Oryzias latipes: one gene and its partner. The protein of the gene in region 2 binds, or shares a complex with, the protein of the main gene of each other region. Links are inferred from orthologs where the notes say so. Each region holds a gene or a part of one and is shown on either strand. Other genes may lie near its edges. The genes, in order: tubulin alpha-1B chain and kiaa0895l.

The links.
Region 1: the proteins of kiaa0895l (region 2) and tubulin alpha-1B chain are in contact, whole or in part, in a cryo-EM structure (PDB 7Z6S), measured with the Homo sapiens proteins. The link is inferred for Oryzias latipes from reciprocal best matches to the Homo sapiens genes MATCAP1 and TUBA1B. Residues at the interface, in NP_001035805.1 of Homo sapiens: Lys219, Cys220, Trp223, Val226, Arg227, Gly237, Glu238, Val239, Val240, Val241, Gln242, Leu243, Met253, Met254, Val255, Glu256, Asn257, Ser258, Arg259, Pro260, Thr261; in NP_006073.2 of Homo sapiens: Asp345, Trp346, Arg422, Glu423, Ala426, Ala427, Glu429, Lys430, Asp431, Glu433, Glu434, Val435, Gly436, Val437, Asp438, Ser439, Val440, Glu441.

The regions. Positions count from the first base shown.
Region 1 is NC_019865.2:25,869,942-25,874,538, reverse strand, and holds tubulin alpha-1B chain, read left to right. Parts: upstream 1-1,793; 5' UTR 1,794-1,959; coding exon 1,960-1,962; intron 1,963-2,810; coding exon 2,811-3,033; intron 3,034-3,114; coding exon 3,115-3,263; intron 3,264-3,349; coding exon 3,350-4,330; 3' UTR 4,331-4,543; downstream 4,544-4,597. UniProt on the Homo sapiens protein: Tubulin is the major constituent of microtubules, protein filaments consisting of alpha- and beta-tubulin heterodimers. Microtubules grow by the addition of GTP-tubulin dimers to the microtubule end, where a stabilizing cap forms.
Region 2 is NC_019861.2:3,745,733-3,748,775, reverse strand, and holds the end of kiaa0895l (uncharacterized protein KIAA0895-like homolog), read right to left. Parts: intron 2,565-3,043; coding exon 2,467-2,564; intron 2,269-2,466; coding exon 2,107-2,268; 3' UTR 536-2,106; downstream 1-535. UniProt on the Homo sapiens protein: Tyrosine carboxypeptidase that removes the C-terminal tyrosine residue of alpha-tubulin, thereby regulating microtubule dynamics and function. Also able to remove the C-terminal phenylalanine residue of alpha-tubulin TUBA8.

The DNA of each region.
Region 1 (4,597 bases), on a different chromosome or scaffold from region 2:
GTTTATTTTGCTTTTTGTAGAGCATCTCAGCCAGAAATTTGTAAATCTAACCAAAATTATATCAGAGCTAATTATATGACCTTAACTGGATTTTTTAAGCCATGAGGTGCACTTGAAATCCTTGAGTTTCTTCAAAAATAGAAAATCCACCTTATAATCAAATGCGCCTTATTTTTGTCTGTGCTTACTGACCTCCAGTTGATTTTTTTGTGGTACATGGTTATGGTATAAATTTATGGTGCACAAAAATCTGTCAAAATGTTTTAGTTTGACTTGTGATTCTGTCCTTCAGCCGTTAGTGAATGCATTGAGAAAAGTTTAGTCATTTTATTTTTGAGCTCTGTTTTTCCCCCAACTCTTTTCTGTTGTAAGGCGACATTGGGTGTCCAGAAAGGCGCCTGATAAATAAAAATAAAATAGTTATTTTTGTCTTTTGTTACCTTTTTGTCCTTGAATGCTTTTTAATTAATCGTTACTTTTAAACTTAAAAACTTGTACTTTTGTTTAACCAGAGAGCCTTCATGGAGGAGTGAAAGAGTCACGTGTGGCTTTGGAGCCACAGGTTGCAGACCCCTGATCTAAATGATTAATTTCTTTGCAAGACAGTTTTCACATCAGTGTCAGTATTATCAGGAGACGCTGATGATCAGTGTTTGAAATTATACATAAAGGCAAGAGTTTACAGTTAGAAATGAATGTATGAATGAATGTAATAATAAAGTATTGTGAGGCTTCACAAAAAAATTGAAAAATTTGTACCTGTTGTATTAAACCAGACTTAATTCCATAATGGTCAAGCAGAGTGACACTGAGACAATTAAAATGTGTTTTCTGTCTGTGGTCAGTCACTTTAAGCTTTTCTTAGTTTTTACTTTACCAAGCCAAAAAAAACAAAAAACCTTTTTCTTTGTAAACCCAAACACTTAATTATGGCCCGCAGCAGTCATAGTTTCATTTTGTGTTCTGAAGAACTGTCTTTACTTGGATTTTTGGAAACACCTCAACTGTCTGTCTTGATCAGCTAAAAGTGGATTTGTTTTTACCTGCTTATTAAGAGAGTGTGACTATTTTTAAGGCACATGGACCCAAGGTTCTATATTTTGTCCATCTTTTTTCAAACATTACATTTTTATTTTATGGTCCTATATCTGAGTGAAGCTGAGGCTGGTCCTCACAAATACTTCCTGTGAAAGCTAGAACTTTGTCTTTAATGCTCTGGTGGTTTTGATCATTTTTTTCTCAGTTCTAGGCAAACAAAATTACTGCAAGGCAAAAAAAAAAGAAAAACGACCATGGTACTGTGGTCTTAATGGTTTACATACAGTCCTTTGTAGTATTAATAGACCAGTTTTCAGAAAACATACTTCTAGACATATTTTTATTGCTTATCTTTGCTTGAGGCTCTCGTGTTCACTTGCATTGTAACGTACTTTTTCAAAAACATTGGTGGCTGTAGATGTTTTGTTCCACTTCTGAAGGTATTATAGTGTAAATCACTTGAAAATAACACAAGACTAATCAAATGTGTTGGAAATTGAATACGTTTTGAATAACAGTAATGACTAATCTATAGCTTGGATATTTAGAGAATGATTTAGGTAAGGGTAAGGTCAGACATTTTTTTCTCTTCTTCCAACAGAGTCCACGCATCTTTTCCTCTCCATGGGAGGATCGCCATGTTGCTTTATGATCTAAGGGGCGGGAAAATGAAGTCAGCATTCTGTCAGGGGGCGGGCTTTCCGTCGACGCTTAACCAATGAAAAAGCCGCTTCTTTGTGCCAAGAAGTTGATTGACAGAAAAACACACCAATAGTAAGAAAGTACCGTTGCAAGCGAATGTAAGCGTCTAACGTCTCCATCAACCGCGCCATTACCTCTTACATCGACCACATAACAGTCGAATCGTGAGATTCAGTTTCGAGGAAAATTCCTGCAAGCTGATCATTTCAACAAAGCAAAATGGTAAGATCTTTTAATACGTTTCTTTTCAATGTAGTGTCGAGTTTCTATTTACACGGATTTGACCCGGTTTTAAATAAATAATAAATGTACCAGAAAAAAACCAGTCAGTTTCCAGATATAAAACATGTCTGTTCTCCAAACAAGTTATGTCCTTTTTATGGTTTCTTTGTTTTAATAAAATTTTGTAAGAAGATGCAGAGATATTCTTGGCTCAGTGAACAAAAGTAGGATCATCATCATCATGCAGTCAGTTGAGCCGCATACTGCGGCATTTTCACTCCCGCCCATGCAACAAAGAAATGCCCGGATGTTAATTAAACGTTTCTGTTAAGCGGAAAAGCTGAGGATGGGAGGATTTACCTTACCCTCTGGCTTTAAGACATCTCGTATAATAACGAAAGTAGCAATTGCTGAAATTCGCTGCCATCATCATGGCGATTATTCTGATTAAATATGGATGACTCTGTAAGTAACAGACACCGACATATTGGAGGGTCTTTGGTTTTTCTCCCACTTCAACGTGGTATCTACAGCTCGCTCTACTGTTATTTTGAAAGTTTAAATACATTTCTTTAGACTTTGCTTAATAGTATCCCACTAGGGATTATTTTAAGACGGTTTTAAATGAATTTAAGGCTCGCCTGCACGGGGGCTTGTTGCCTGGCAACGGGGTTCTTTGTAGGAAGACAGTGCGCCTCTCTCTGGACAAAAAAAAAATTATCTTCTTCTGAAAAGAAAAAAAACGATGATGCATTTAAGAATTTGTAAACAATTATTTTAATGGTTGAAATTATACAAAAACATATTTTTATACTTAAACAACTATACCAACCTTTTTCCCTCCACAGCGTGAGTGTATTTCAGTGCATGTTGGTCAGGCCGGAGTCCAGATTGGCAATGCCTGCTGGGAACTCTACTGTCTGGAACATGGGATCCAGCCGGATGGCCAGATGCCCAGTGACAAAACCATTGGAGGAGGAGACGACTCATTCAACACCTTCTTTAGTGAAACTGGAGCTGGAAAGCACGTTCCCAGAGCTGTGTTTGTAGATCTGGAGCCCACGGTTATCGGTGAGCATCTCTTCCAGATGAACATGTTCTGATGAAGGTGCTGGAGTTTGTGAAAACTAAAGGGATTTGTCGTGTCGTCAGATGAGGTGCGCACTGGGACCTACAGGCAGCTGTTCCACCCTGAGCAGCTGATCACCGGGAAGGAGGATGCTGCCAACAACTACGCCCGTGGACACTACACCATCGGTAAAGAAATCATCGACCTGGTTCTGGACAGGATCCGGAAACTGGTGGGTACAATCAGAGCATGTGTTTGTGTTTGTCTCGTAGTGGTGCAATAACAGTATCTGGCATTTGTTTTCTTGTGTGTCTTCAGGCGGATCAGTGCACTGGTCTTCAGGGCTTCCTGGTGTTCCACAGCTTTGGTGGAGGCACTGGCTCTGGTTTCACCTCTCTGCTGATGGAGCGTCTGTCTGTGGACTATGGCAAGAAGTCCAAGCTGGAGTTCTCCATCTACCCAGCTCCTCAGGTGTCCACTGCTGTGGTGGAGCCCTACAACGCCATCCTGACCACCCACACCACCCTGGAGCACTCTGACTGTGCCTTCATGGTGGACAATGAGGCCATCTACGACATCTGCCGCAGGAACCTGGACATCGAGCGTCCCACCTACACCAACCTGAACAGGCTGATCAGCCAGATCGTGTCCTCCATCACTGCCTCTCTGCGCTTTGATGGTGCCCTCAATGTTGATCTGACAGAGTTCCAGACCAACCTGGTGCCATATCCACGTATCCACTTCCCTCTGGCCACCTACGCCCCCGTCATCTCTGCAGAGAAAGCTTACCATGAGCAGCTTTCAGTGGCTGAGATCACCAATGCCTGCTTTGAGCCGGCCAATCAGATGGTGAAGTGTGACCCCCGCCACGGAAAGTACATGGCTTGCTGTCTTCTGTATCGTGGTGACGTGGTGCCCAAAGATGTGAATGCAGCCATCGCCACCATCAAAACAAAACGCTCCATCCAGTTTGTGGACTGGTGTCCCACTGGCTTCAAGGTTGGCATCAACTACCAGCCGCCCACTGTAGTTCCTGGTGGAGACCTGGCCAAGGTCCAGAGGGCGGTGTGCATGCTGAGCAACACCACTGCTATTGCAGAGGCCTGGGCTCGGCTGGACCACAAGTTTGACCTGATGTACGCCAAGCGCGCCTTTGTTCACTGGTATGTGGGTGAGGGTATGGAGGAGGGAGAGTTCTCTGAGGCCAGAGAGGACATGGCGGCTCTGGAGAAGGATTATGAGGAGGTTGGAGTCGACTCCATTGAAGGTGAAGGAGAGGAGGAAGGAGAAGAGTATTAAACAAGGAGGAGGAATCAGTTACAGAGGAAGGAAATGGCTCAAGCATTCCAAAAAGATGTTTGTTGTTCTAGAAAATGTTAAGATGTTCAATGAAACCTCCTGAAAATGTCAAGATTCGGTTTGATATGAATAAAATCTGACATGTGTCATGCATTAAATTGTACATGGAGGTAATATAAAACTACAATAAAATCGGTTTCTCCATCAGAAAAAGGCCTCATTGTCTTTCATGTCTTTTTGCAATTAATTCTTATTTCTTTTACCAAA
Region 2 (3,043 bases):
GGGAAGGAATTCAGACACAACCAGAATGTCTTTGAATTCGGATGTTAATAGCACTTGATGATGTCATCAGTCGTCGCCGGTCATCTACGTTAGCCGCAGGTGCCAGCGCTCGAAATACAGAAGTCTTCTTATTTTAAAAAGTTACGCTAAAACACAAAAAGTCATTACTTACATGTGTGGCTCCCCCTTGAAAGAAAACATTTTGGGACACCACTTCAGCTCCAAATGCCCCTACGATTAGAGCAATGGGGAGGAGCCAGAGGGGTAGAAAATGGTTTGCTTTCAGCTCCAACCAAATAAACTCAATTCAGTCGCCATTTTTTGTTTTGCAATACGGACGCCGCCATGTTGGGAGTTGGACGTCGTCGGTGAGCAGTGATTGATCAGAAACCGAACCGTACGTTATGCAGCCTCCAACCGAATCCTCTCCAAAGTGAATGCTCCAAACATTTGTTGTGTTGTGAAATTACTGAAAGTTGTTTTGTTATTTTATTGTTACTTGCTCGTCTTGATTACTTGAAATGATCCAGAAGAGTCCAAATATGAAAGACGTTTATTTAAAAACCACTGCAAAGCTGCCATGCCCGACAATCCAGGTCAAGATTACAAAGAAAGAAGGAGCAGTGACACAGAAACATCCTCCGTTCGCCGTTCACTCATCAGAGGTTAAAGCTGCTTCGCCATTCAAACAGTGACTGATCAAAAGGCTGAAGAAGTAGATGTGAATGCTTTTTTTGGTAGAGCAGGGTCTACAGAGAACCCTGGGCCCCCGCTGGGAAGGGGGGGGCAGCATCCAATGACCATCCACTGAAACTCTGGGTTCTCTTAAGAGAACCAGCTTTTCCCAGGATCCTTCATTTGCAGTGAAGTCAGAACCTGAACCTGCAGGAGGAGCGGCGTCACACAAAACACAAAGAGAAACAAGCTCCGCCCACCACACGTGAAGTGCATACAGGAAGTGACACAGATCTGAGCATCAGTTCAATAAATAAACCATAAATTCCGTGGTTAGTACTCTGAACGGCGTCTGTCTTATAGGGATCTTCAAACGGAAGTGGAACACATGTATGTGCATGAAGTACTGTTTAAATTGAAAGTTGACCTGACCTGTGTGTGTGTGGGGGTGGGGGTGGGGGGCTGCGGTGCCCCCTCCCCTTCTGTCCGTGGTTCTGAAGCAGATCATCTTCAGTATGAAACACAGCAAAGAGCAGCAGCTGACGAGATCCACACGGCAAAGGCACGGCCCAACACCTGACCCCCCCCCCCCCCCCCCAACAGCTGCATAATGTCGGTGATGAGAGACAGGTCGGGGGGGGGGGTTCACCTTCACTTTCCAGATATTCCCCAGAAGGTCTCATATGATCAGAAGTTGAATATTTTAAAGGCAGCTGTTCAGACCTAACTGAGCATGCTCAGTAACTTCCATGTCTAGTGTGGGGTTGGGGGGGTCACTCTCAGTCAGGAGGAGGAGTTTAAGATTTTAACTGTCATTACCCCCCCCCCCCCACACACACACACACCCTTTTTCTGATAGCTACATTTTTAGACAGAGGTGGGGAGGGGGGGGGGGTCACAACTTACTACCTGAAGCTCAGGTGAGACTCGTGGACATCTGGCACTTGATATGTGAGGATTCTTTACAAACGTGTAATAAAACTTAAGTTCCAAGGCGGAGACGTCCAAATCCAGGCCCCGAGGGCCGGCATCCTGCAGCCTTCCATCGAAGCTCCTTATTGGCTAAACACACCTGTCCAGGTAATCAGCAGCAAATAAGGCAGGATTCCTGGAAAACCAGCAGGAGGTCGGCCTTCGAGGGCCTGGATTTGGGCACCCCTGTTCTAAGGCATCCAACATAAAGCTGAAACCTGAGACAATCATGAGCTCTCAGAGTGAAGCAGTGAAGCAAACTGAAGCAGTGAAGCAAACTGAAGCAGTGCACACAAAAGCGCACATGGATGGCCTTTACTGTCTGAGGTACGTGTGTGCAGCAGGACGCAGCAAACATGCAGTGAAGCGCAGACTCCTGTCCCTTCAAGTTTGACCACAAGTAGTCTCCTATAAAGCACGACCAATAGTTGGTGTCCTCCGGCTTAGGGGGGCAGAGTCTCAGGGGAGCAGCTGCTGCAGCACTGAGTCGTCCAGCTCGTTGATGGAGACGATGTGGTCCAGGTGATGAAGGTACTTTTCCGGGTCCCGCATGAAGTGAGGGATTCTGGTCCGGGAAAGATCTGCAAACGGACGGAGTCTCTCCACATCCTCGTAAGACACCTGTGCAGGTAAATATGTGAAAAACAACTGTGCAAGATCAACATACAACACCTCGGCAAGTTCAACATACAGACACCTGTGCAGGTGAATATGTGAAAAACAACTGTGCAAGATCAACATACAGACACCTGTGCAGGTGAATATGAGAAAAACACCTGTTCAGGGACAATTTACAGGTACAAGAATGTTAACACTCACCTTTCCTAGAGAGGTCAGCATTTTGAAATCGATGTTTCTTCGATGCCTCAGGATCCTCAGGATCCCATCCAGGTAAACCTGATCTTTGCTAAAGCAACCTGTGCACACGCACACACACGCACACACACACACACACACACACACGCACACACACACACACAGGCACATTTTTCTGATGATGCGGGACATAGATGAAGGAAATAAAAACAATGTATTTCTGAGTATTTCTTTATTCTAATTGTTGTCAATCAGTAGCAGTTTGAAGCAGATTGTATTTGTGACATAGCAACCACGCTGGGTGGGGCCACAAGCTCCCTCCTGTGTTCTGACGCAGAAAACTGGATCAGGGGTCTGCAACCATCAACACTCAAAGAGCCCAGAACAGCCCAGCAGGAGCCACAAAGGCTCCTTTCCCCTTTAGAAAAATAAGAGGCTGGTCTGTATTCAGCCAAATCAAGACAAAGCAGAAGTTTCAGTCATCGGTCCTCAGGCTGAGACAGAGGGTCCAGTGTTCTCTGTCCACCTAAGTGTGAATGTGGGTGACAAAGTTAGAAAGATTTTTGAAGCACAAACAAAG